Ovis aries: one gene and its partners. The protein of the gene in region 7 interacts with the protein of the main gene of each other region in a biochemical or structural test. Links are inferred from orthologs where the notes say so. Each region holds a gene or a part of one and is shown on either strand. Other genes may lie near its edges.

Region 1 (3,964 bases), on a different chromosome or scaffold from region 7:
TCTCTGGTGACAGTCTGTGTATTTGAGGTAGGGAGTAGGGGACCACAGGTGGAAGTAGGGTTTAGGTACACTTCGGATTTTAGCAGTTCATGTTTTCTTTCCCGTAGGGAGAGACTCACTGTAAGTAGCTACCTCTTTAAGCGATCGGATTTCTGGTCCACACCGTCTTATTTGCAGCTTACTTCCACTCAAAACACATAGAAGGGTTTGCTTGCAGGGAGTCAGAACAGTAGTGAGAATGGTGAAATCAAAGAACGTCTCTCCCATCCACTCCCTAGAGGAGTTAATTTCTCCTCCGCAGGCTCAGAGTCCCGCCCTCTCCCGTCTCAGACTCCGCCCCTCCCCACTTCTCCGCTGTCCTGGCGGGCTCATCCAGGAGGGGGCGGCCCCAACCCTAGCGCTGGGCCGGGCCGAGCTCCCGCCCGGGCGGAGCTGCGGCTGCAACGTCCAGCTGCCGGACCGACCTCCAGCCGTGCAGACCTTGGGAGCAGCGCCGGGCCCCCTCCCCCCCATCTCCCCAGCCCACCCTCTGAGCGTCCCGAGTCCCCTCCCCGCTCCCTGCAACTGTGCTGGTAAGTCCCACTCTCGGCACGAAACTTTTTTGCTGGCGAATTTGAGCCCTGCCGCGGGACCATGAAATACAATGTAACCGGGGCGGGGGGAGGGGGTGAAGAATTGAGAATAGCCGTCTTGAAATAAACTATTTACGACTCCTTGGCGTCCCTAAAATGGATCAGGTCTCACCCATTTCCCGAGTTGGTGGAACTCTTGAATTTGGCTGGTTAAACTTGTAGATAGGGAAACGAGGGGGTTTGCTCCAACTTCGCTTCCCCCTCCCCCATTTCTCTGAGATTAAGCCCTTCTCGAGACTTTTCCCTCCATATCCCAAATATCTTTGGCTTTCTCAAAGCTCATCCCTTCCCGACTCCGGCGTGGCAAGGCCCCCCTCCCCCATGTACTTCGGGTTCACCTCCTCTCCCATGCCACCGGGGACCCCGCGATCCTTCGGGCGGCACACTCCCTCCGGGTCTACGGGTCTGGCACCGCGGCCAAAGACGTGCAGCGGCTGGGTCCGGCTGTGGAGGGAGGGGCTGAGGCCGGGGTTCGTCCGAAACCCGGCGGGCGGGGCCGGGAAGGGGAGGTGTAGGGGGCCGGACGGGGCGGAGCAGGCGGCATTTGCGGCCGGCGCCGGGGTGGAGAGTTGTGCGCCGGTCCCTGGGCCTGAGCTCCGGCTCGGGCTCGGGCGCCTGCGATGTCTCAAGATGGCGGAGCTGGGCGAATTAAAGGTACCGGCCCCCTCCCCCATCCCCATCTGGACTGAGCCGGGCTGTACGCCGAGTCTGGGAAGCGACCGAGACTGGGTGCTGAGGGCTCGGGTGGGGGCTGGAGACGTGGTGGGGACTGGCTGCTGGGGATGGAGAGAAGTGGCTGTGGCGAGGAAGGGGCTGCGTGGGGCTCCGGGGGCGGGGCCGCGGGGCAGATGTAGGGGTGGGGCCGAGGGGAATTGCAGCTGTTGGGGGCCGAGGCTCAGGGGGCGGGGACGCGGGGTAGAAGTCGAATTTGGTAGTAGGGGCAGATGTAGGGGTAGGGCGGGGAGGAAAAGCTGCTGTGGAGGCACAGCGGGCGAGTCGATCGAGGCCTAGAGAGGTGACAGTAGGGGGCAGGTGATGGGAATGGGGCTGGGGGGCCGATTACCGGGAGGCTCCTGGGGGAAAGGCGCTGAGAGGATAGTGACTTTGGGGCTGCTGTTGGGATCTGAGCCTTGGGAAGTACCAGTAGGTGGCTGAGATCTAGGGGGCGGGGCTGTACGGGGATAGATCGAAGGGGTGGGGCAGAAGCATCCTGGAGGCTGAGAGGAAGGTCCTGCCTTAGTGAGTCGGTATCTCTGGGCAGAGAGAGAGAAGTGTTAGACTATGGGATTGAAAAGAATTTCTTGACAAAGCTAATGGAGAAATAAAGACAGGACCGAGGAGATAAGGATGAGGGTAAAGGTAGAGGAGCAAGTTTTTAATTATATTCCTCAAAAGGGGCCCAAAGCCATAATGCCTCCATAAGAATTGCAGATGATTAGCAAGATTGGCCCGTGGCAGGGTCTCCTGGAGATTCACAGAAGTGAGTTCTTTAAGCGGAGAGCTTACCACTACCAGAATCTTGAGGATAAATAACCATCTTGCAGAACCTTTAAAAACCATGGGGTTCACCCCCTTGCTCCTGGCTTTATTCTGCCTTTTGAAATGGAACCAGAGTCATGGGAAGGCCTGAGGTCTAGTCACTGGTTCCAGTTTCCTAGGAGAGCATGCAGTTCTGCAGTCTGGCTCAGGGGCTGATCACCTCCCTATTCTTCCAGGGGCTCTCTTTAGAGCTTTCCCCTCGTTTCTTCCACCCCTGTGGAGGAAGGGAAGAATCACTTACTTTCTCTGGGTAGGAGAGAAGCAGGTTATTAGTTCCTGGCAGATGGAGTAAACAGGTAAACAGGAAGGATACCTGGACTCCACAATTCACTGTTAACCCCTCACCCCAAGTTTTACTCCTGTTTCTCTCCCAGAAAAAATAGGACTGAGGGATGAGTAGTTATGTAAATAACACCAAGGAAAGGTTTGGGAAGTTATAAGCATTGAACCCTGACCTGGCCACAAAAGCTTGGGGAAAATAGCTGAGGTAGATTGAGGGGTGGAAAGGAGTTGATTTTGAGGCACAGTCCTCCAGCCACCTGGCCCCTTTCTTCTCTGTGGGGCTGTCTGGCCTGAATCCTCTTCTCCCCTTCCTCCCCGTCTCCTGTCCCCTTCCCAGGAGGCTAGGATGGGTCTGAGAGTCTGCGAAAGAGCAGGAGAGGAGATAAGCAGCTTAAAGGAGAGTCCAGGCTCAAGGCAGGGTGGTGGGAGGAGGCTGTAGTGGACTCAGAGGTGTGCTGTAGGGTGGCAGGCACCCTGCGCCCACATGGTCAGCTGATAAGATGGGGAGACAGGATTGTTCAAGCCTGGGGGGGTAGTGGAGAGGTGACCTGAGGGTTGCTAGGATGGGAGCTAGATGTCCTTTTGGCTAGGTGGGCAGTTTGGCAGCAATCCACTGGCTGCAAAGCATCTTTCAGATCAGTGCTGGAGGGAAAGCACATTCCCCACCTAATAGCTCAGCCCTGGTGTCTTTGGCAGGACAGGCCTGTGCAAGGTAGGATCCTCAAGCTTCTCTGATCTCCACAGCACATGGTGATGAGTTTCCGGGTGTCTGAGCTCCAGGTGCTCCTCGGCTTTGCTGGCCGGAACAAGAGCGGACGGAAGCACGAGCTGCTGGCCAAGGCCCTACACCTCCTCAAGTCCAGCTGTGCCCCCAGCGTCCAGATGAAGATCAAAGAGCTTTACCGCCGACGCTTTCCCCGCAAGACCCTGGGGCCCTCTGATCTTTCTCTGCTCTCCTTGCCCCCTGGAACCCCTCCTGTAGGCTCTCCTGGTCCTCTGGCTCCCATTCCCCCGGCCCTCTTGGCCCCTGGCACCCTGCTGGGCCCCAAGCGTGAAGTGGACATGCACCCTCCTCTGCCCCAGCCTGTGCACCCTGACGTTACCATGAAACCATTGCCCTTCTATGAAATCTACGGGGAGCTCATCCGGCCCACCACCCTAGGTATGGCTCTTTGTGGTCCCTGGGTCTTCCTGGCCTCCCTGCTTCTTCCTCAAGCCTTTCTTAGGCTTTGTCCTGTGGGCTCAGCAAACTGGAATAGGGGCCACTTCTGTGGCCCCCTGGGCACGGGCTTGGGAATAACTGCCCCTTTGTGTCCTCAGCATCCACTTCTAGCCAGCGGTTTGAGGAAGCGCACTTCACCTTTGCCCTCACCCCCCAGCAAGTGCAGCAGATTCTTACTTCCAGGTTTGTCTCTTTGAGTCCTCCTGCCTCATCCTTGGGTGGTTACCCTGAGACTCCGCTCTCTGACTTTCTTCTTTTCTTTTTTGCCCTCCTTCTCACCATTCTCCTG
Region 2 (3,555 bases), on a different chromosome or scaffold from region 7:
CAGTAGGACCAAGACCTGTACCCCTTCTTTTTCAGAGTCACAGTCCCATGGGCTGGGTCCCCACGCGCTGTGCAGAGATCAGAACCCGCAAAGCCCCTCCAAACCCAAGCCCCGGACTCAGGACCAGCCAGAGGCCCTGCAGGCCCTCCCCAAGCAGGGCTCCTAGTCACTCCTCCCCAGCACTCAGCCGCACTGAGTCACCCTCAAAGCCTGACCCAGCACTCCTCTGCCCCTCCCCCGCGCCAGGCCTGATACCCCCATCTCCAAGCACAGGCCCTGGGGGTGGGGTTGAGGGGGGGAGTAGCAGAGGAGAATAAGCAGCTGCAACACCCCCACCCAACCACCTAAAATGCCAAAAATAACAGCAGCTCTCACTCACACACACACACACAACAACAACCCCCCACACACCAGAAAGGCAAATATAAATCCAAAATAAAGGGGAAGAAAAAAAAATCAAAGCCAACTACTGCCCCCAAAAGGCTTTTTAAACATTCTCAAAAAAAAAAAAAAGTTTATTAAAAGTGTTCTTAATGCTCGAAACGGAAAAGATTCCCAAATATACAGATGCCTCTTTTTTCATAGAAATAGATTTTTTTTTATAATACAAAAAAAAAAGGCCAAAAAAAAAAAAACACCAACAAAAACAAAAAACAACATCAACAGCAACAACCCCGTAGGAACATCTTTAAGCGATTACTCAGGGCCCGGCTGACAGTTACACGTGGGTTGCGTCAGTCCCGTGTACACACGCGTTCAGCCATGTTTAAACCGATTGCATCAACTTCGAAACCGGCCCGCCCGCCGGCGCCCAGAGAGGGGGGGTGGGCAGAATGAGAGGCAAGAGTTTATCATTCATCTGTACACATAGACATCTCTTCTTTAAATAACACCACGGGCGGGCGCCCCGTCTGCACGTGCGGCTGGTGTGGACAAAAATATAGATAGATATATATAATAAAATATTAAAATTACCGACGCGCTCCCCGCGCTGCCCAGTGCCCCAGTGCCAAAGTTCTGCCGGCGCCGCCAGGGGCGCGGGCGGGCGCGCGGGCGCTCCCCGGAGTCTCGGCGGCCGCGGCGCGCCCGGCAGCGCGGGGGCCGGCCGGCCGGCCGCGGGGGACGCGCACGGGGGCCGCGCTAGCAGTGGCCGGAGGAGGCGAGCAGGGGCTCGGGCAGCTGCTTGAACAAGTTCCGCAGGGTGCTGAGCTCGCGCGACAGCTGCTCCACCTTCTTCTGGAGCCGCTCGTTCTCGGCCGTGAGCTCCAGGACCTTGTGCTGCGTCTCCAGGTTGCGCATCTTGGCCTTGTCGCGGCTTTTGCGCACCGCGATGTTGTTGCGCTCCCGCCGGATCTTGTACTCGTCGCTGTGCTTGTCCACCGTCTTCTTGGCCTTGCTCTTGACCTGCGAGGGCGCCGGCGCCGCCCCCGCGTAGCAGGCGGCGGCGGCCGGGGGTGCCTTGGCGTCGGCGGGGCTCGGCGTGCCGGGCGGGCTGGACGACGAGGACGTGGACAGGCTCCCGCTGCTGCCGCTCGGCACCGCCTGGTAGCCGAGGTAGGCGCGCAGCGCGTACGGGAAGCCGGCCGCCATGCCCGCGGCGCCGCCGCCCGGAGCTCCGGCCTCCTCCTTCCGCTTGCAGTCCGCGGGCTCGAAGCCCGGCTCCGCCTTGAGCTCCGCCGGCGGCGGCGGCGGCGGCGGCGGCGGTGGCGGGTGCAGGGGTGCGAAGCAGCCCGGGTGCAGCGCGCCCTTGGCGGCCCCCAGGCGGCCCAGGCTCACGTAGCCGTACTCGGCCGCCTTCTTGCAGTTCTTGCCCCCGTAGTCGTCGGAGAAGAGGTCGGAGAGGAAGTCGTGGTGCTGCCCGGAGGAGGCGGGCGCGGGGGCGGGCGCGGGCGGAGCCGCCTCGAAGGTGTCCGTGGCCGTGGTGGGTGCCGGGGCCTGCGGCGCGCCCAGCGGCTCCAGGTAGGGGCTGAAGTCGATGGCGCGCTCGTGCTCTCCGATGCTACCCAGCTCGCCGGCGGGGGGGCGCGGCCCGGGTCTGGCCGCCGGGGGCGCCGCGGGGGCCGCCTTGCCGCCGTACGCAGCAGCCAAGCAGTCCGCCTCGTAGTAGAAGTTGGCCACTTCCATGGATTTAAAGGCGGGCGGCGGCGGCGGCAGGGGGAGACATGCTGGGTCCCAGGCCACCAGGCGTTGCATGAACGCGGGTGCCCGGGGAGGGGGCCTGGGGCTGCCCGCGCCGGCCGGCCCGCAGGTGGCGCGGCCTCCCGGCTCCGAACAGTCGCTGCTGTGTCGCCGCCGCTGCTGCTGCTGCTGCCGCCGCCGCTGCTCCGGGGTGGCCGCTATCAGTGCGGGGGGCTGCCGGCCGGACCCTCGGGTGGGTCCCCTTCCCGGTCCCGTGCGCGGCTCTGACTCGCTAAAGTTTCTCCCGAGCCCGTTTATTTATAAAGGCGGGCCATAGCAACGGCTGCGTCACGCCCGGCGGCGGCCCCTCCCTCCCCGGGCACGCAGAGGACACGCCGCGGCCGCCCGGGACCCCCGGCCGGGCGCCGGCGGGCCGGCCTGGAGACCCGGAGCGCGCCCCCGGGGGTCCCCCGGCCTGCGGGGCCGGGGTGGGGGGCGGCCTCGGGCCCCCGCCCTGTCCACTCCCACCCGGCGGCCCCGAGATGGCGAGCGCGGAGAGGCGCGAGCCCGCCCCCGGACCGCCCCCTCTGGGCCGGCCGGCGGACGAGAAGGGAGGGGGAACCCGGGGAGGGGGCCGGGCGGCCGTCTGCTCCCACCCTGAACGCGGCCGCCGCCCGCCCCCTGCTGGAGGAGGCGCTGGCCTTCGGGAGCCGCGGCCGCCGGACCTGGCTCTCCAGGGAGGGGGCGCGCCCCTCTCCCCCCAGCCAGGGATGCTGGAGACCCCAACCCCCTCCAGCTCGGACTCCCGGAGGGGTGAGCCGCCTCCACAGCCCTCCCCCGAGTGCGGCCTCGCCGCTAAACTGGCACCCCTCCCCAGATCTGGACAGGAGGGACTCACACCTGCGGTGACTCCCCTTCTGAAATAGGAAGACCTGGGGTTGGGGGCTTGGGGAGGTGCAAACAAGGGGGCGAGCGCCCCTCCCCCGGCCCCGCCCCCCGCACCTGCCTGCTCCCTCCCCCTCGGACCACACCTGGGTCTTCTCCAGCCCCACCCCGCCCTGACCTGGGGCCCCCTCCCCGGAGGGTGGAACGGGGGTGGGGTGCCCCCCGACCACACGCTGTGTGACCTTGGACTAGTCACTTGGCTTCTCCAAGTTTAAGTCTGCGAGGGTGTCCTTACTGTTATCTTTATTAGTTGTATTAACTGTCTCCAACGCAGACTCCCAAACGCTCACCGCTCTGGGACACACATCAGAAAGAAGGGCCTCTTCCCAGTACAAAGAGGCCCAGAGGCCCACAGCACACCCAAGATCACACAGCTTCATGTTCCCCACTGTTCTCAAAAGAAAAGCCCTTATCCAGGCACCCTCAGAGCTGTTCGTCATCCCCCTCCCAAAGCACCTGTATCTGAGGCTGGTGGGTGGGGGTCCAGGCAGG
Region 3 (3,500 bases), on a different chromosome or scaffold from region 7:
AATGACAGGCAAAACCAAAGTGCAAGTGTACAGGACCCTCTCAGGGTGGCGCCCGTCCCAGGGACATCAGGGTTGAGGATAGCTCTGTCCATGGGCCACCCTGGTGCCCTGTGACCCGTCAGAAACAAAGCACTTAATCTCGTGGGTGTGAGAGACTGTCTGGAAAGTGATCAGAAGCCAGTCTTCTCATCTGTCCAATGAGAGTAATAGCAGCTCTGAGCCATCAGTGTAGGAATTAACCGTGGAAAGCATTGAGTGTGTCACAGAGCTGACACACAGAGAGGGTCCCTGAACAGCAGCACAGCTGGCCCCAGGTGGGCCATTGCAAGGACAGGTCCATACCGCAAGAGTCCGTCAGGCCGTGCATTCAAGATCTGAGCATTCAGTGCTCTACCTGTATTTTATACCTCTGTTTTAAAATATACTTGAACCTCCCTGAAGACTCCACACTTCCACTGCAGGTAGGGGGCGCAGGTCCCATCCTTCATCAGGGGAGTTCTGCCTGCCATGCCGTGAGGCCCCAAAAACTTAAAAAATACTTCACAGCAAAATTAATAGCTGACATTTACATAGCTCTAACACCCTGTGCCAGCCACCATCCAAACCCCCTTTGCCAAGATTAACTCCTTCAGTCCCCACAACTACCCTACTGGGTCATTACTATTATTATCCCCAGTTTACAGATGAGGAAAGCTGAGGCCCAGAGGTCAGTTGCCTAAGGTCACACAGCTCTTCAGGGACCAGGCCAGGAGCTAAACTTGATCGTATCCCAGAGTCCTGGCCCCTACCTACTTTGCTGGGGTGGTGCTCCACACTGGTGGGAATGCCTGTTTTCAGGCTTCAGTTGGGGGGGGCTGGTGGTGAGTAGGGAAAACAGATAAAAGAAATCTGGGTAGGGGGGAGGGCGGGGGCAGGCAAGTGAAACAAAGAGGGAGTGGACACAAAGTAACAAGCCCAGGGTCTGCAGGGAAATCTTCAGTGCTAGCTGGACCGTGGTATTCACCTGGGGCTGCTGAGGGGCCTGCAGGGGGCAGGCATCAGGCGAGGCTTTCTTTGAAGCGGCTCAGGAGCCAGGGGCCCTCCATTGGCAAAGGCAGGAATGGAGCCAGCTGGGGGCCAAGGCAACAGCTGAACCCCCAAGGGCGCCTGCTACCCGAGCCCCAGAGGCCTCCACCCGGGCCAGCCTCCCCAGAGAAGGGACCAGAGGAGCCGCCAAATCCAGAGGCTATAAATACCTCGGCTGGCGTCGTCCCTGGCCCTGGAATGTCGGTCAGAACTGGGGCGAGTGGGGGTGGGGTGGCCCAGGCACTGTTCTCTGTCCCCCAACGAGTGACCCCCCAAGTCGCCCTGTCCCCCATTGTGGACAGAGTTGAGACTGGACCCCACCTCTCTGTAGTAAAGGGGACCCACGCCCCAGCCCAGATCAGGTGCCCCCACCCACCCAGGGTTACCCTCAGACTCAGCCGGGAGACCCGAAGGCGCAGGGAGAAGGTCAGGCTCTAGGTTAAGGTGACTGCACCCCACTTTCCACAAATCGGCATCTCCCCAGGAATAGCCTGGGCCCACGCCAGCAACATGGGGTCTTCACCTCACTGTCTTCCTGTCTTTCTTTCAGTGAAAGAGTTCTTAGCCAAAGCCAAAGAAGATTTTCTTAAAAAATGGGAAAATCCTGCTCAGGTAAGCCCCCTCGGTACAGAGTCCCGGGAGGGGTGACTGATGGCCCCCTCACCCCCAACCACATCCAAGTGACATGGCTAGGATTTTTGGGCACTGTAGAGCCGCCTCACCTGCCCTCATTCAACCCATCGATGCTCATGGGGGCGCCTGATCACACACTGCCAGGCTCCTCCACCCCACTACCCTCTTCCAATGGGTGGCCCCTGCCCCTCCAGGCAGCTGCCAGAAGCTCCTGGGCCCCTGGCCAGGGCTGGATCCAGACCCTGCCACCAGCCTTGAGGAATGCGCCCTCTGCCATCTTGTTTTTCCGCCGCCGTCCTTACCAGCTTCGTTCCACCTGGTGCCCACGGCCCCCTCTGCTGGTGGCAGAGGGGACGCCCCAAACTTGGGCTGCGCAGGCTGCAGGGGTTGGGGTGGTCCCTGACCCTCCAGAGCCCTCTGCCCACAGAACACAGCCCACTTGGATCAGTTTGAACGAATTAAGACCCTGGGCACGGGCTCCTTCGGGCGGGTGATGCTGGTGAAGCACACGGAGACCGGGAACCACTACGCCATGAAGATCCTCGACAAACAGAAGGTGAGTCTGGCCCTGCGACACGGCCCAGGTCCCGGCTACCAGGGCTCTGACCGGGCAGTGGTCACCGCCTGGAGCACCTCCATAACGTGCCAGACCCAGGGGCAAGAAGGATACCATGCTGCCTTCAGGAAGCTTCCTCTCCCGGGGAGCCACCAGTGCCAATCCCAGCATGGATGCAGCATCAGACACCTAGCCTGTCTCAAGAAAGCCAAGCATTTTCCAGCGTGAGAGGAGTGATGTCTATGCAGACCTCCTTTCTGTAAATATTTTTGCCAGGCAAAATGCTCTAGAGCAGCAATGTCCAGGAAAAATATCACATATGGTTTTACATTTTCTAGACTCCTCATTTTATTTTTATTTATTTGGCCAAATGGCTTGTGGGATTTTAGTTCCCTGACTAGGGATGGAACCCGGACCCTCAGCCATAAGAGCATGGAGTCCTAACCACTGGACCACTAGGGAGTTCCCTAGAACCCTCATTTTAAGAGCTTTAAAAAAAATACAAGTGGAATTCATTTTAACAATGTGTTGTAATTAAGTCAGTATATCTCCAATATTATCATATGAACACATGCATCCAGTGTAAAAATATCATTAATGAGACACTTTACATTCTTTTTTTCCGTACTAAGTCTTAGAAATCCAGAATGTACTTTACACTTAGAACACATCTTCGTTTGGATGTTCATTTTCACTGGAAAGAAAAGAAAAAGACAAGTTGAAAAGGCAGATTCGCACAGCCCAAGTTGTTCCAAACAGGCTTGAAAGTTGCATTGAGTATCAGTTTTTTAATTTTCATTGTAAATACGCTGAGTTTTATTGTTTAAAGCATCTTTGGGGGGCTGTGCTGAGTCTTTGTTGCTGCTCAGGCTTTTCTCTAGTTGTCGCAAGCAGGGGCTGCTCTCCAGTTGGGGTGCACAGGCTTCTCATCGCAGGGGCTTCTCTTGTTGTGGAGCACAGGCTCAGTAGTTGTGGCACGTGAGCTTAGTTGCTCTGAGGCGGGTGAGATCTTCCCGGATCAGGGATCAAACCCACATCTCCTACACTGGCAGGCATATTCTTTACCACTGAGCCACCAAGGAAGCCCCAAGATACTTTCCATTTTAAACTCGATCCGTCAGTCAACCAGCCATGTTTCAAGTACTCAGCAGCCATACGTGGCTAGTGTGGACTGCCCTGGACAGTGCAGGTGTAGACCCAGAGGATGTCGTTGTGAACAAAGCAGAGGAAGCCCCATTGCAGTGGG
Region 4 (4,008 bases), on a different chromosome or scaffold from region 7:
ACCACATGTGACCAGGTAGGTGGTGTCTGTTTCCTGAATATTTACTGCTTTTTCCCGTTGGTCTCACTAACTTGAGTTGACACTATCAGCCCTACCTTCATCACAGGTATTACAATCAGATTTTACGCTCTTGAAGGATATACTCACACTGATAGTAACAACCCCATATGGTCATTTTGTAGAGAAGGACCTGGGTGTGGAGATTAAATGATCCAGGGCCTGCTGCTTGTGAGGTAGGACATCATCCAGATTCTGTGGCCAGATGGTACCACCGGCTCAGTAGTATATCGGGTTTCACTGTGCCCTTTTTTAAACATTTTATGTGGCTGAAAATGTCATAAAAACCTGCCATGTGACATTGATAATTAAGAATGTGTGGCTTAGGGGTGACAATGATCTCCAACATTCTTCCATTCTGGTCGCTGACATCTGCGTCCCTAGTGTGGTGGCCTGCCTGCATTTGGTGGCTTTCTATCTTGCTGAGACGTGTATTTGTCATTGTGCTTGTCGTGGGTCAGGGTGATAGCTGGCATCCATCTGGCCCAGTTGTGACAGCTCTGTGCCAGTTAACATCATACATAAACGAGTAAAAATGGAGACGAACACGGGAGGACAAGGCCAGCAGTACTCTTGTCACTTTGCAAGCGGGAACGTCCTGGAGTGGCAGAAACCCTTACAAAAGGTGAGGAGAATCGCAGCTTTATTGTGAGGAGTGCTTTGTACCTATAAGCAGCGTTTATAAATAATGATCTGTTTCCACATCAAAACATAATCCTGGAGAGTTGGCGTTCGAGTGAGTGAACAGAAACGGGGAGGATTTACACCTCGCACCGTAACTGGAGAAGGCACCTGCCCTGGTCGCGAGCTTCACATTTTCCGGCTGCTGAAAACAGTTCTTTGTGGACTAAAAGCCCAAAAAGACAGGTCTCTTCGCCCGCACGTCCCTCTCCTGGAGGGAACGGAAGTTTGAGGACGCAAAATGGCGCCCTCAGCCAACGCCGCCGCCGGCCCCGCGCTCGACCGCCCCGCCAGGGACGAGTGTCTTCGCCGGCAAGAGGCGATTCGACGGGTGCTGTACTCAGACCGGAAATTAACCTCGTGAGGGCGGAAGTTACCCTTGAGGGCGGAAGGGCTCCAGGAGGGGGGTGGAGGACCGCTTCGGCGCCCGTTGCGTTCAGTCACTTCCGGGGCGGAGCGGAAGTTGCTTTGTTTTGCTTCAAGATGGCTGCGGGGATGTATTTGGAACATTATCTGGACAGTAAGAGCAGGCTGGAGGAGCGGGTCAGGGGTCACAGAAGGGTGGGGGTGGGGGTTCGGGCTGAGGAGCTTTATGGCCCTGAAGACCCGATGGTCAGAAAGTCACAATCGTGAAGGGTTGCGTGAGAGAAAATACTGGAGTGTGTGAAGAAATAGGGGGCGGGGCAGCGGGGTCGAGGCCTCGCTCTGAGGCGTAGAAGAGGGAGGGGTTGCGCGGCTGGGCTGGGGGACGGCTCTTGAAATGCTGGTCGGCATAGCCGGGAAGATATTTGCTGCCCCTGTCTTCAGGGTCTCCGGCCTCAGGATAATCTTTTTCTTAAAGTCGTTCTGAATCGGTTATTTTAGTATATCATCCACTGCCATTGGAGCAGCGACAAAGATCTGCTCGCGATTCTCCGCCCAGTTCTTTCGAAGATGCATCTTCTCATGGGGATAGGGGGTTACGAGTGACCACTGTCAGATGAAGGACTGGAAGGTTTCTCCTCTTGGAGTAAAGACCCAATTCCCATCAGATGGAAATTTGGTGTTCTGTTTATGCCATTTGTGTGGCCCCCTTCACAGAGCCTGTCACCCTATTCTCTTTGCCTTAGCGTTGGGAGTCATTCATTCGTTTATTGAGGTCCTGCTGTGGGTCAGACATAATGGCAGGTACTGGGGGTATACAAGAATGAATACCACACGGACCTTCTCCTGAAGGTGCTCATAGACTAGTAGGACACAGATTCTAATAAATAATTATAAAATTGTGGCAAATAACAGAAATACATTAAACAGACAGTTGGTAACACTGGAGAAAGAGAGACTAGTTTACCTGGAGGTGTAGGTAAAGCTTTACAGAGAATGTACCGAATCTTGAAGGTTGAGTGTTTATTTGCCGGTGTAGAGAGGGAGAGGGGATTGAAGGTTGGGGGAAGCATCAGCAAAGGTGTTCTGATGGGTTTGTGGCAAGATCAGGGAAAGATGAGACCAGAGTGTTTAATGTATAGGACTCTGAGGTAAAAGATTGGAAAATGACACTGGAGAATGTAGCTGAGGCTGGGTTGTGCCTGGTCTTTAAAGCCAGGCTAAGAAGCTTGCACTCTAAATAGTGAGGAACCAACGGATTTTCTAAATGGAGTGATTTTTTTTTTTTTTAATAAAGGAAAGTAATTGATGTCTGGTAAATTGGAGCATGATGACCCTGGTAATACAAGATTAATTAGTAATAACAGTTCTGGTCAGAGATGAGGCCCTGATCTCAACAGAGTATTTAGGAGGTAAATATAACCGAATTGACTGACTGAGTGGTTGAGAGAGGAGGAGGAATCTAAGGTGACTTCTTGATTTCCTGTTTGGGAAGTGAGGTAGACATATATCATCAAGAAGATAGGAAATTCAGAAGTCTGTAAGAGTAAATGAGATGGAGATCATTCAGAGAAAGTATGAGAAAATAATAGGATTAACTTAAGTGTAAGCTCAAGAAAATAGTAACGTTTAAGGGACAGGCTAAGGGAATGTCAGTGATGAAATTACTTGAAAGTGTGTGAGGAGATTTAGAATCTTAATAGAAAGTTACACATAGGCAAGAAGATGGTGAGAATACTGCAAACATTTTTTTTAGGATGGAACTAGTAATTAGATTATTTGATTTGGTAACTCATTGGTGACTTAATCTTAGTAAACTGATGGTGGACCCGAGTCTATAGGTTAAAGCATTGGATGCATTTTAAAAGTTTCAAAGTGGAGTCATGGAAAGAGAATTTTTTTTATGAGAGAAATGCAAGTATTCATGCCTTTATATTCAATTATTTATTGAGGATCCTCTGTATGCATGTCATAGTTCTGAACACTAGGGAAATAGGAGAGAAGAAGACAGACATATCTAACACTTCTGGAGAGCTGGGGAGACATACCATATAACTAATTATATAATTACTTATTTAATTACATTGGATAAGTGCCCCCAGAGTATCTGCCCTGCCAAAGGGCAGCCATAGAATAGCATGACAGCATAACCCAGGGCACTTGGAGTCAGGGGCAGTCAGGGTTGAGCTGAACTTTGAAGAATGAACAGAAGTTCAGTAGGCCAAGAGGGATGGTGGAAGTGGGGTGAAAGAGACGGGGCAGGGCGTCCTGGGCAGAGAGAGCAGTGTGCGGAAAGCCAAGTGTCTGGAAGAGCACCGGAAAGTTCAAGGCACTCAAAGAAGGCCAGTGTGACAGAGCGGAGCGCGCACAGACGGGGACTGACCTGAGTTAGGTCTGGTGTGCAGCACGGGCCAGAAAGTGCAGAGTAGGACTTGGGAATATTGCAGTGGAAGTGACTGGAGGTTTATAAACGGGAGAGTGACTTGATCCGATTTGCATTTAAAAAAAAAACATTCTGGCTACTGTTTGGAGAGCAGATTGGAAGTGTGTGTGTGATCAGTGGAGGGTACCAAGAGGGTATTTGTAAGTTGAGGGCAAAAAGATCTTTTTGTAAAAAAAAAAAAGTACTTATTTGGCTGTGCCAGGCCTTAGTTGCAGCATGTGGGATCTTTCATTGCAGCATGTGGGATCTAGTTCTCTGAGCAGGGATTGAACCCGAGCCCCCCTGCATTAGGAGCATGAAGTCTTAGCCACTGTACCACCAGGGAACTCCCAAGGGCATGGAGAGGGAAGGGCTGATTTGTAAAGTTACTGAAGAGGGGAGGGTGGGAAAGCTGTGCAGAGATGGGGAGCTCGCTGTGGAGACCGGTGGACATGGCTCCTCCTGAGAAAGCAATGATGAGTGCT
Region 5 (3,942 bases), on a different chromosome or scaffold from region 7:
GATCTTCCCAACCCAGGGATCGAACCCAGGTTTCCTGCACTGCAGGTGGATTCTTTACCATCTGAGCCACCAGGGAAGCCCACGATCTTGTTGAGATGAGTATAAATGATTATTTAAAAAAATCCCCAACAACTGTAAATGATATGAAAATAACTACTACTGATGACAAAAACTGCAGTTACTGTTAATGTGCCTTTGCTTTGGGGCTTCCATTCGTAACTGTAGAAAGTAATGAATTGTAACCGAAGTCCAGGGAAGACAGGAATCTTTTCTCATTGAAACTCATGGACCTCTTGAATTCTATGTGCCATCCCACAGACTCCAGGTTAAGAGCCCCTGTATTAATGGGGAGTTCACGAGATCAGCCAGCCACCCAAACGTTAGGATGAAATGAAAAGACGCTCTGGGGGAGATAAGGCTTCTCAAACAGGAGGCCTCGTCTACTCCTCCATCCTCAACTTTCTGCCACTTCTGTGGTGAGCTCCAATTTGGCACCCACCATGCCATGGGCACAGCTCCATCAGGTGGCACCCACCCCAGCACAGCAATGTTTACCAGTCATCACCCCTTTAACCAAATTGGGAGCTCCCAGAAATGGAGTCTGTCCTTGTGCCCCTGGTACTTAACGCCTAGAACCTAACCGGTATTCAGTGAGTGTTTACTAAGCGATAAGTGTTGGGTAGTGAGCTAGGTGGTCCTGAGAATGATACTAAGATGACGATGCCAACCCCTGTCATATTGTTGGAGCCTGTCAGGTTCCTCTGTCCATGTAATTTCCCAGGCAAGAATACTGGAGTGGGTTCCCGTTTCCTTCTTCAGGGGATCTTCCTGACCCAGGGATCAAACCTGCATCTCTCAGGTCTCCTGCATTGGCAGACAGGTTCTTTACCACTAGTGCCACCTGAGAACTCCCAGATGGATCAGGATCTGTTTATTGGACTTTAACCTTTATTTTTCATTGCTCGTTATTATAATCATATATAATAACCTGCCTCCGGGCACCCTGCCCCTCTGCCTTAAGTGATTAACACATACATCCCCTCTCTAAGGGCTTCCCTGGTGGCTCAGATGGTAAAGAATCTGCCTGCAGTGCCGGGGACCTGGGTTCGATCCCTGGGTCAGGAAGACCCCCTGGAGAAGGAAATGGCAACCCCTGGAAAATCCCATGGATGGAGGAGCCCAGCAGGCTACAGTCCATGGGGTTGCAGAGTTGGACACGACCAAGCAACTTCAGTTTCTTTCTTTCCCCTCCCTATGGTTGGCCATTTCAGGAGAGATTTGCAAGAACATGATCTTTCCTTTCTCACCTCCTTCCCCTTTGTGTCCTATAAAAGAAGCTGGCATCCAGACCCCAACAAGACAGCTGATTTTAAGACAACAGTCTGCCATTTTCTCAGTCAGTTGACTTCCCAAATAATAAAGTTAGTATTCCTTGCTTCAATTAGCCTGTCGGGCAGTAAGCAGATTGAGCTGGGATTTGGTAACAATATTATGAAATGAGATAGCCCAAGTACACACTGATACCCATTCCCCTACACCACCTAACTACTGCGAATGCAGCAATACCACCTAGTCATTCCTAAAATACCTACTGCCTCACCGGTGGAGGGAAAATCAAGCTATCTTGACCATGAGCACTAAGCTTGGACAACAGCTTTACCTTAGGGTGGGGAGGACAGGAAGGGTGGGAACTAGAATTACACAAACAGACGGGAGCTTTGGGAAGCTGGAAGTGGCAGGAATCTCTCTGCCTGGGAGGGGTCTTCAGACACACCACCTCACTCCAACACCCCTCCTGGCCTGCTCGGAAGCCTCAGGGACCACTGGAGGGAATCTTGAATCTATTAATAAGCCCAGATGAGAATCACTAGGAACCACTCTTACTCAAACCGGATAGCTACAGAGACGACGTTCTGTGAACTGGGAAAGTTTGGGGGAAAATGTTAAACCATAACGTAAGACAAAAGTGAACGCACTGTACTGAAATGACATCGACTTACATAGTTTTGCATAATTAATTAAAAAAAAAAGAGTGAGTGGGTGTTGAAATGATAGCCAAAAACCGATTAAAAAAAAAAATCCAAATCGTCACTTGCCAGTCGCCACCGTCAATGTAGGACAAGGTAGGTCAAAACCAGACTTAGCTTCAAAAAACAAGGTAGGTCAAAACCAGACTAGCTTCAAAAAACCACGAGTCAGTTTCCTTCCCGAAGCGTATGGTAATAAACCCAGAACTAAGGCTAGAAGCGGCTCCCTATTTTCACAAAGTAAAAGGCCCCACCGGCTTCAGACCGTATTTCCCGGGCTTTTCCTGCAAGATCAGCAAAACCTGACGGAAGAAGGGTCCACCCGGCGGGCTTGTCCCGCGATAGCAGCTGTGCCCGCAGGCCCCGCGCTGGCTGGGAGCGGTCGGCCAGGCCCACGGCTCCGGGCCGGCCCTCCCCCCACCCTCCTCGGACGCGCGAAGGCCCGGCCGCGCACAAAGCGCCCCCTCCGCCCGCACCTGCACCATGAAGGCCATCCGGATCGAGTCCTTGGGGATGCTCTCTTTGCATTTCTTGCAAGACGCGCGCCCGCTCTTGGCGTACTCGACCCGATAGAGCTTGTCTGAAGACTCCGCCATTCTCCTGCCGCTTACAGCTCCGGGAGCCCGACGCCGCGATCTGGAGACCCGCTGCTGCTACTGCCACCTCACCCACCGATCCGCTACCCGCAGGCGGCCAGGCGCCTTGAACCGCCGCCACCGCCTCCGAACACGCCGCGCAGGCCACCCGCCGCTCCGGATAGATTGCTGATGCCTGGCGGCTGGCACGCCCCGGCGCCCGTGCGCAGGGGCGGGGCCGCCGGCGCGCGCTCGCCCCCTACCGGCCGCGGGTGGGGGCGGTAGTTCCCCGGCGCCCGCGGCTGCGCGACCATCCTCCGGGATGCTGGAGGCAAGAGGCGGGGCAGACCCCTCGCCTGCAGCTCTGGGAAGGACGGGGTGCCAGTCCTTTCACCATTTGTCTCCTTTAACTGTTTGTCCCCAGGAAGGCTTAAGTGTCCTCACAGCTGATTCCACCCTTGTCGCTTCTTAATGCATGTGTCCCCTCTCCCCTGAGGGCGGCCAGATCTGGACTGGCTGGGGAAAGTCCTTTGGCAGCCGAAGGACCTGGGCAGGCCCTCGCCTGGGCTTGACTACAGTCCGCGGACCACTGGGACCGAATACTAACTGAAGTCTAGCATCGCCTTCATCTGAATTTTAATGCATGGATACAAATTTCGGGAGTCTCATCAATCGTTATCACAGCACTTTCATGTCACTTTACAGTTGCTGGGTACAAATTGGCACTTACCAAGAGCATTGCCAATGACAACAAAGGCATTTGCCGTCTGCCTCTACAGAGATTGAACCCCATGCTGCTAAAGCTGTTGACCTTCAACAACCCTGAGGGAGTTCAGGGTGGAGTGAGGCACTCTGTGCTCCAGGGAATCTGATGGGACAGGTCTTTAGATAGTTGGATGTGTTTAGGAACAGATTTTATGATCTCAGTCCTTGCATCTCCTCACATCTAGAGAAGCACTAAATCCCTTTATGGTGACATCAGATCCTCATGACTAACAAAAACCTTTTGTAAAATGAGTGTTTCATCGCAGTGAACTCCCCCTTCACCAAAATCTTATATATTGACTTTTTCCCCCCACTGCTGCTTTGGAGCAGTCTCTCAGAGATATCTGAGATCCTGCCTCCCAGGCTGCAGTCCCCATTTTTCCCCAAATAAAACTTAACTCACAACTCTCAAGTTGTACATCTTTTTTTAGTCAACAGGGAGAACTCAGTATTAAGCACATCAGTGCTTAAATTTCAGTCACTGAAAGACCTCCCACCCTACTAAGTCACTTCAGTCGTGTCCGACTCTGTGCGACCCCACAGACAGCAGCCCACCAGGCTCCCCCGTCCCTGGG
Region 6 (3,500 bases), on a different chromosome or scaffold from region 7:
TCTCTGTGCTCCAGTCAGTAGAGGCTGCCCTGAAGGACAAGGTGGACCAAACTGCCCAGGGTCAGGGGCCTCTGGGGTGTGGTCAGAAGCTTTTCTCTGACCCACTGCCCCTGGGACCTCACCTTCAACCCACAGACCCTCCACAAAGGAGAATGGGGCCAGTATGAGTCAGGACAGACACACAGGAGCCACATCCAGCCGTCCCAGCCAGGGTCCTGCCTGCCTGGGGAGGTCAGGGTGTTTCCGGGATGTCTCCTCATGGCACCGCTGGCCAAGCCGACGCCCTGTCCAGTGGTGGCACTGGTGCCTGATCATACTCAGCCAAGGGCAGGGGCACCAGTAAGAACCCCTTGTGAGGCCACACCAGCTGCCCACTCTGCCCTCACACACTTCACGAGGAGCACTAAGCCCCAGGGCACCCGGCTCCCATCCTCCCCTCCCTGGCATAACAGACACGTCAACCCACAACCAGGACATGCGTCGCAGGAGGACGGTACTCACTGTCTTCTCCAGGACAGGGCATGCCTGGCTCCTTGGGGATGCTGGGGAAAACTGCATGCAGAGAGAGCCAGAGAAAGAGTGAAGGTCAGTGACCACCGTGGCTTCGCAAGGAGCCCTGCGCTGAGTTTGACTGCCCACGATCCCCATGGCCTGCTCTTGCCAGATGATTATTAAGGCAAAACCTTGGAAACCCTGCACATGGACGGGCAATGAGGGCCGACCACCAGAACCTAGGCTTCCGTGGCCAGTGAGAGGACACCTCACTGACTTCTGACAAGTAAGAGCGGTTTTTATCCGGGATAATAAGAGCTAAGAGCAAAAAATGAAACCAAATTGCTTCCTATTCCACATTCTTAAATCCTTTGCATCCTAATATCTTAAACCATGACCTGTGTGGCTTCTGGTCTAACAAAGCACCCAAGTGCCCACCCCCACCCAGAGAGCGCCCACCGGCTGGCACTGACCGTGAAGGGTGAGCCCTTCGTCCTTGTGCTGACAGGACAGGCGGAAGGCCTCCTCCAGCTCCATCTGGGAGGACACAGTGCAGGGGTCACCTAGGCAGACGAGGGACACAGCTGAGGCCACTGCAGGCCCAAGGCAGGGGGGTTCATGATGGTGGGCGCCCAACTGGGAGCGCGTTGCTGCTGGTGACCGGCCACTCAGGGCAGAGTTGGCCAGTGCCAGAGTGAGTCACTCCCCCAACCCAAAGGCCCAGGTCAGAACCAACAAGCCCCAGAATGGCAATGAATTCACCCACAGCTCCACATGGGGTGCCAAGCTGGGCAGGTTTCCTGGCCCGGGAGAGAATGAGCACCCTTCCTATCCAGTCCTAGACCGGAAGGAAGGGCTCCTTGTCTACTGAGGCTGGACAGGAGCACAGATGCTTGGACAGCCAGAGCCAGGACATCGTGGCCTGGCTTCAGCAGGAAGGGGAATGGCCAGAGGTCTGCCTGCCCCTGCCCTCCCCCACTCCCATGTCCAGGCTGAGAGCTGCTGGGAAGGCTCTTCTGAACTGTTTTCCAAACCCTCCACTATCTCAGACGTGTGTCTGGCTACAGGAAAGGAGGGAGGGAAAGGAAAAGAGAGGTGGACCCTAGGGCGCTGGCCACCCTCCCCTCCCCACTTCCCTGAGAAACCACAGTTCAGCTAGCAAATCACCCACCAGAAAAATCCAGAACATGAGGAAGGGAGTCAGGAAGGTCAGGACTCACACAAGATGGGCGGGGGGACTCCTGCAGCCTCTCCCCAGGACCCAGCACCAGAGCTGGCCTTGAGGGGAACCACCCCCCTCAAGGGACCCTCACCCCCGCCCCCTAGTGCCTCCATGACCTGCCACAGCCTCTTCCCCAGAAACAGGAAGCTAGTTAATTTGAATCAGCTTAATCCCAGAGCTGTCCACCTCCCCAGGGAAGGGGTCGCGCCCAGGTTTAGAGAGCCACTGCCCGACCACCACACCCCCCAGGCCCACCTTCATTGTCCACCCACTTAAGGGTGAGCGGGTGGCCCGGGTGCAGCCGGCACATCTCCCGCACCTCTGCGCAGAGCTCATCGAAGGTGGTGGCGGAGTCCAGGCTGGTGATGAGGAGGTCCCTGGGCAGAGAGGACACACAGGTCTCACCAGGGGGCACATTTAAGTCACATGATCAACTAACCAAGTTGTTGATCAAATACAGGAAGCTGTGTTGTCCCCAAGGGTATGACAGCTCCCCCCGCACCCCAGAACCACTGCCCACAGGCCATGTGAATTACACCATGAATGCCCTGGTGCAGAAACACCCATCCTGGCACCTGAACGTGCCTCTGAGGGGCAGAAGGACAGGGTAAGGGGCAGTCACCCAGGAGGGGTGGGCGCAGCTGGACACAGACTGTTCAGTTCAAGCCCATAGGCCTCATTACATCGTCCCACTACCTCAATGGTGCCAACAGGGCCACATGGTATCCAGGGTGTGGGACTTTTGAGAGGTGGGAAGTGGTGGAAGGTATGGGGAGGGGGACTAACTTATTACCCCAATGCCACAGCCTCTTGAAACCCTGGAGGCACCATTCGACAACTGCCTTTGGTAGGGCCACAACATAATTCCAGACCCAGTTTGTTGGGAAAACCAAGGCACAGAATGCCACTGCCTTTTATCTTTTCATCCACACTTGGGATATAAGACTGAAGACAGCCCAGGGATTCATGGTCAGTCTTTGAGAATGGCCCTTAGAGGTAAGGCAAGTCAGCACCAGGGAACACTCAACTCCTCAGGACAGGGAGGGAGAGGTATCCAACCCCCCTCCATGCACTGTCCCACATCACCTACCACCCAAAGCAGGGCTGGTGTTGACATGAGTAAACGTACATCTGCTGAGACTCTGAACAGGAATCACACAGGATAAACTGAAGTTAGAGGGAAGTTTACCCACATCTGACACCACAAGGGTGGGATCCTCTGAAAAAAGTTTTGAAACACCCCCAACAAGAGAAACACAGGGTCCACTGAGCATTAACACCAATGGCTTCTGAATTCCATCAAACACGTGTTGACAGAGCATCTCGGTCCACCAGGTAACAGACCCAGGGCCACCAGGATCCAGGATCCATCTGCTGGGTGCCCATGGCAGCTCGTGTCCAGCCCATGGCTCACTCCCGAGGGGGTGGGGGGCACAGTTAGAACCTACCCCATCTGCTCAGACCCTCAGTGCCCACCCCAGGGCCCAAAGCTCACCACAACCTGTGGCATCTTGGCAAATGGGGAGACTGAGGCATAGAGGGGTCTCACGGCTCATCAGTGGGGCCCCCAGAGACCAAGCCCTCCCACACCCACCACATCTCCCAGACCTCGTACCTGTGCCACCCGGCATACCCATCAGTCCCCCTGCCATGGGAGCTCTGGAACTGAGTTTGCCACCCATCTATCCCGGGGTGGCAAACTATCTATCCCTGCCCCACGACCCTCACTCACAGTTCCACCCCCAGGTGGCAGCTAGTCCCCCTGCCCAGCGCTTCAGGGCCTAGA
Region 7 (3,965 bases):
ACCCCTCCCCACCTCTCCTTTCCTCCTCACAGGCCCACCCCCCTCCCCTTCATGCGGCTCCCTGACCACTCACGGTTGTCAAAGATGGGATGAGAGAGGACAGGCGCCAGGCGGAGGGGCCTGCCTGCCGGGTCCCGCACTGTCACCTGGAAGCAGAGCCGCACGGCATTCAGGTCGTAGTCCCCACGCTGCTCTTCTATGGGAACTGTCAGAAAAACCGATGGTCAGGAGAGCCTGGGCTGGGGGTGGGGCTGGGGCGGAGCAGGGTGTGCGGGTAGCTCTGGGCTGGGAGGGCTGTTGGAAGGTGTGTGAAATAGCAGGAGTCCTAGAAGAGGGTGGTGGGAATGTTCTAGACCCATCACTGACTCCACCTGTGACCCTGAATGTCCTGTCCCCTACACCCCTGCTCTCAGTCTGTTTCTCCAATGGTAGAATGTACTGAACAGGTGTATGTAATGAATGGGCACCGCATCTTGGCCGGTGAGGGACACGTGACGGGAAGGTGGCCTCAGAAGGGTACAGCAGCTGGAGGTGCTCCAGGCAGGCCCAAGCCTCCACCGTGGCCGCCCTCACCTTGGAAGGGGTTGTTGTTGGTCTGGATGCGCTGGCTGATGGCCTGCTCCAAGTCCCGCTTCTTTACACACTGGATCCCCAGGTTCTGAAAGCTGAGGCCCCCCGAGGCATAAGCTCCACTGTCTCCAGCAGAGCCTGGGCCCTCCTGCCTTACCCACTCTGCCCCTTATCCCCTCCCCCACTCACCAGGTAATCATTCTATTCTTAACCCCCTTAAATGCCACCCCACCCAACTGTGCCACACTGAAAGCGACTCCTTACTTTGGCTGACAAGGCCCTGTGCCCTGCCGCCTGGCCCCAGCCACAGTCCCTGCCAGCTCCCTACCCTCTGCCCCAGGGCTTTCTTTTACCCTCTCCAAAGACATGACACTCATTCGTATTTCAAAGCCTTTTGCACCTGTTCATTCTGCTGGGCATGTTCCTTCCCTGCTTCTCTACTTTCTCACATTTAGGTCTTACTTTCGAGAAGCCTTTCTGACGTCCCAGCCCAAAGGAGTGGGACCAGCTCCTTCACTCCCTGCCACCTCAGGCTATTCTTCCAACCTATTACTGCTTCATTTTCATCACTGAAATGGTGATTTCTAACAGTATCTTGTTCAGTTATTTGTACATTTATTTATGGTCTGCCTCTGTCAACCAGTACATAAGCTTCAGGGGAGACCGTTGGTTCAATGGCTTTCATTCTGACTACAAGAGATGTGACACTCCAGCCCCAGGGGTTAGGGGTTCAGGGGTGATTAGGGACCCACACCTTTGCCATAGAACTCACAGGGTGCTCCTCCTATCCACTGGAGAGAGGAGACACACAGACAATTTCAAAACAAAAGAATCAGCTTGCAAAGCTGGAGAGGGAGCAAGCAGTGAGGAATTCTGCCCTCTGTCCAGAAACGATTAACATTGTAACAGCAATATAACTTGCCTGCTTTTCCGATTCCCATCTCATCACCACCTTCTTCCACCCCCTGCCACCCCTAAGGAGCTCACCTGTGGATGCAGCGGTCCGGGCAGAGCTCAGCCTCATAGAAGCCATCCCGGCAGTCTTTCCCCACTAGCTCGTGAGGGTGAGGCCGGTGAGGAGGGTCCTTGGTGACCAGGGAGATGCGGACTGTCCCTGGCCCCGTGTAGCCATTGATCTGTCCAAAGTACAGAGAGCACCCTAGAGGGCTGGAATTCCAGACCCAACTCCCAGACACAGATTTCGGGATGGGGGGGTGGGGGCTGAAAGCAAGTCCCAGCCCTACTGACTCTGGGTCCCCCGCCCTGGGGCTCTGCTGACCTTGATAGTGGGGTGGGTCTTGGTGGTGTCTGTGCTCCTCTCGCCAGGGATGCTGCCGGCTGAGCGGCCCTCGCACTTGTAGCGGAAGCGCATGCCCCGCTGCTTGGGCTGCTCAATGATCTCCACATAGGGGCCAGAGGCCTGCACAGGCTCTGCAGGGGACACGCGGGCCAGGCCCATCAGCCACTGACCCCATCGCCCCTGACCCTGGGGAGCTCCTCCCGACCCACTGAGAAAGGATGGGCCACTTACCTTCGGAGAAGATGATGGGGAAGAAGTCTGAAAGGAGAGGGAGACAAGGGTCAGCAGGAGCCCACATCCTGTCCTCATCAGGGAAGGCCTGCTTCCCGGAGGTGAGGAGAGGGAGCCAGGCTCCTTCTCGGGGACACTCAGTCAGACCTGCTACCTGGAACCTTCAGGGAAACTTGGGGTGTGCGTAAGGAAGCCAGAAGCACCGTTTTCCTGAGGGAAACCAGAGATGGCCGCCTCCCTCCACCAGGGGAAACTGAGTCACGGCCTTTTCTGTTTTAAGTTACACTAAGGGAGGGCACTCCCCCATCCCGAGAGGAAACTGAGTCAGATACATTCTCCCCTAACAAGGAAACTAAGGTGGAACTGCCCAAGCCCCACTCCCGGGTCCCGGGGGGATACTGAGTTAACGCTTCCCCCAACACCCCACACCCAGGGGGAAACTGAGTCAGAACCCTCGATGCCCGCCCCGCCCCGCGCCACCATCCGGCCGGCCGCTCCCTGCGCAGCGCCCAACAGCGAACGAAGGGTCGGAAGGCGGTGAGGGGCCTCCCGCCGCGATCCCCGCGGCCCCAGCGCCGCCACCCCGCGGGGTCAGGGGGCGCCCTCACCGTCCATGGCCGGGGTCCCGGGGGCGGGGCCGGGGTCGCAGCTGGGCCCGCGGCGCGCGCTACTGTCGAGCCATTCGCCAGAGGCGGAAATGCGCCGCGCGCGCCCGCCGTCGCGTCACTGCCGGGAATCCGACCGCGCCTGCGCGATGCGTCTCCGTCGCCCTCGTCGCTGCTGCGGGTGCCGCCGCCACCGGGAGAGGTTCAGGGGCGAACGCGCGCTGCGCGGAGGATGGGCAGGCCGCGTGCAGGGTGGATAGGCTGCTTGTGCCGGCGACCCGGAGCTAGTGCGCGCCGCGCGGGGCACCGACAGGCGGCTCTCCCGGAGGCCGCTCCCGGGGCTGGCGGGGCAGCTCGGCTCGCTCCCGAGTCTGGGCCCCGCCTGGAGGGCGGGGCCTCCGATTACTCACTATGTTTTTAGGGGATTTCGGGGGCCACCTCCCGCCTATCGGAGGAGTTTGGTGATGTCACCCCGAGCCGGTCTGGAGCCAAGCTAGGGCTGCCGGGCTTCGACCGCCCGCCCCGCGCAGGAAAGGCTCCGGCCTGCTTCGCCCGCCAAGGCCAGGTGGCTCAACTCTTCACGGTTTCCTAGTCAATAAGAGTGCTTCTTGATGGTTATTGCCGCACAAGCACTTTTTAATTTCCTGTCCACCCCAGTCTGGATGCAACGAGGAAAAAGAGAAGTGGCCTGGACCTCTCCACCTGGCACTACTCGGACCGTGGCCTTCGCGGAGCCTGCTGCACGTCAGCGTGATCAGAGGCTCCGCTCCGCTTCCGCTCGCGCAGTACCCGCAGGCTCGTCGGTTTAAGATCTTCCACACTGCCGACCCTCGGGGCCAGTGGGTGGAGAGGGGTAGTCACCCGGGGGTAAATCTCTGGAGCTTGTCTCTGCAACCTGACACCTCTGTTCCGTTTGAACTCCCTTACCCGCCCCTCCTCCCCACGCCTGCCTCCCATGGCTTCCTGCTGGGGTCCAAGTTTCCCAAAGAATTTCCACTAATAAACCGTCCTGTGACTCCTCGCCGAGGGTATCGTCCCCCAAGGTTTAACCCCGTACAAGCAAGTACGAACGGGTTGGGGGTCGGGCTGGAGCACACACCGCCCCTGAGAGGATTTTTCATCCCACAGTGAGGATGCTCCACGGCTGGCGGCAGTCTTCCCCAGATGCAGGAAGGGTTTTTATTTTCTCTAAGTTCGTTCTAAATTAGGGAATCGTGTGGGAATTGGAAAAGATTGGAAATTCTGACTTGCTTTCCCAG

The links.
Region 1: the proteins of RELA (region 7) and PIAS3 form a complex in vitro, tested with the Homo sapiens proteins (2 studies listed by BioGRID, with this or other methods). The link is inferred for Ovis aries from reciprocal best matches to the Homo sapiens genes RELA and PIAS3.
Region 2: the proteins of RELA (region 7) and CEBPB form a complex in vitro, tested with the Homo sapiens proteins (2 studies listed by BioGRID). The link is inferred for Ovis aries from reciprocal best matches to the Homo sapiens genes RELA and CEBPB.
Region 3: of the proteins of RELA (region 7) and PRKACA, one has a biochemical effect on the other in vitro, tested with the Homo sapiens proteins (4 studies listed by BioGRID and IntAct, with this or other methods). The link is inferred for Ovis aries from reciprocal best matches to the Homo sapiens genes RELA and PRKACA.
Region 4: the proteins of RELA (region 7) and ING4 form a complex in vitro, tested with the Homo sapiens proteins (3 studies listed by BioGRID, with this or other methods). The link is inferred for Ovis aries from reciprocal best matches to the Homo sapiens genes RELA and ING4.
Region 5: the proteins of RELA (region 7) and PARP1 form a complex in vitro, tested with the Homo sapiens proteins (2 studies listed by BioGRID). The link is inferred for Ovis aries from reciprocal best matches to the Homo sapiens genes RELA and PARP1.
Region 6: of the proteins of RELA (region 7) and PRKCZ, one has a biochemical effect on the other in vitro, tested with the Homo sapiens proteins (2 studies listed by BioGRID). The link is inferred for Ovis aries from reciprocal best matches to the Homo sapiens genes RELA and PRKCZ.

What each region holds. Positions count from the first base shown.
Region 1 is NC_056054.1:99,195,480-99,199,443, reverse strand, and holds the start of PIAS3 (E3 SUMO-protein ligase PIAS3), read left to right. Parts: upstream 1-1,164; 5' UTR 1,165-1,262; coding exon 1,263-1,286; intron 1,287-3,149; exon of another isoform or gene 3,150-3,197; coding exon 3,198-3,615; intron 3,616-3,773; coding exon 3,774-3,858; intron 3,859-3,964. UniProt on the Homo sapiens protein: Functions as an E3-type small ubiquitin-like modifier (SUMO) ligase, stabilizing the interaction between UBE2I and the substrate, and as a SUMO-tethering factor.
Region 2 is NC_056066.1:78,225,839-78,229,393, reverse strand, and holds CEBPB (CCAAT/enhancer-binding protein beta), read right to left. Parts: upstream 2,413-3,555; 5' UTR 2,194-2,412; coding exon 1,141-2,193; 3' UTR 501-1,140; downstream 1-500. UniProt on the Homo sapiens protein: Important transcription factor regulating the expression of genes involved in immune and inflammatory responses. Also plays a significant role in adipogenesis, as well as in the gluconeogenic pathway, liver regeneration, and hematopoiesis.
Region 3 is NC_056058.1:9,921,510-9,925,009, forward strand, and holds part of PRKACA (cAMP-dependent protein kinase catalytic subunit alpha), read left to right. Parts: intron 1-1,615; coding exon 1,616-1,677; intron 1,678-2,125; coding exon 2,126-2,254; intron 2,255-3,500.
Region 4 is NC_056056.1:209,609,795-209,613,802, forward strand, and holds the start of ING4 (inhibitor of growth protein 4), read left to right. Parts: upstream 1-1,208; 5' UTR 1,209-1,221; coding exon 1,222-1,258; intron 1,259-4,008.
Region 5 is NC_056065.1:28,697,306-28,701,247, forward strand, and holds the start of PARP1 (poly [ADP-ribose] polymerase 1), read right to left. Parts: upstream 2,801-3,942; 5' UTR 2,624-2,800; coding exon 2,504-2,623; intron 1-2,503. UniProt on the Homo sapiens protein: Poly-ADP-ribosyltransferase that mediates poly-ADP-ribosylation of proteins and plays a key role in DNA repair.
Region 6 is NC_056065.1:50,004,311-50,007,810, forward strand, and holds part of PRKCZ (protein kinase C zeta type), read right to left. Parts: intron 2,092-3,500; coding exon 1,970-2,091; intron 1,056-1,969; coding exon 966-1,055; intron 553-965; coding exon 502-552; intron 1-501. UniProt on the Homo sapiens protein: Calcium- and diacylglycerol-independent serine/threonine-protein kinase that functions in phosphatidylinositol 3-kinase (PI3K) pathway and mitogen-activated protein (MAP) kinase cascade, and is involved in NF-kappa-B activation, mitogenic signaling, cell proliferation, cell polarity, inflammatory response and maintenance of long-term potentiation (LTP).
Region 7 is NC_056074.1:40,279,507-40,283,471, forward strand, and holds the start of RELA (transcription factor p65), read right to left. Parts: upstream 2,801-3,965; 5' UTR 2,717-2,800; coding exon 2,710-2,716; intron 2,129-2,709; coding exon 2,102-2,128; intron 2,002-2,101; coding exon 1,850-2,001; intron 1,707-1,849; coding exon 1,558-1,706; intron 666-1,557; coding exon 574-665; intron 206-573; coding exon 74-205; intron 1-73. UniProt on the Homo sapiens protein: NF-kappa-B is a pleiotropic transcription factor present in almost all cell types and is the endpoint of a series of signal transduction events that are initiated by a vast array of stimuli related to many biological processes such as inflammation, immunity, differentiation, cell growth, tumorigenesis and apoptosis.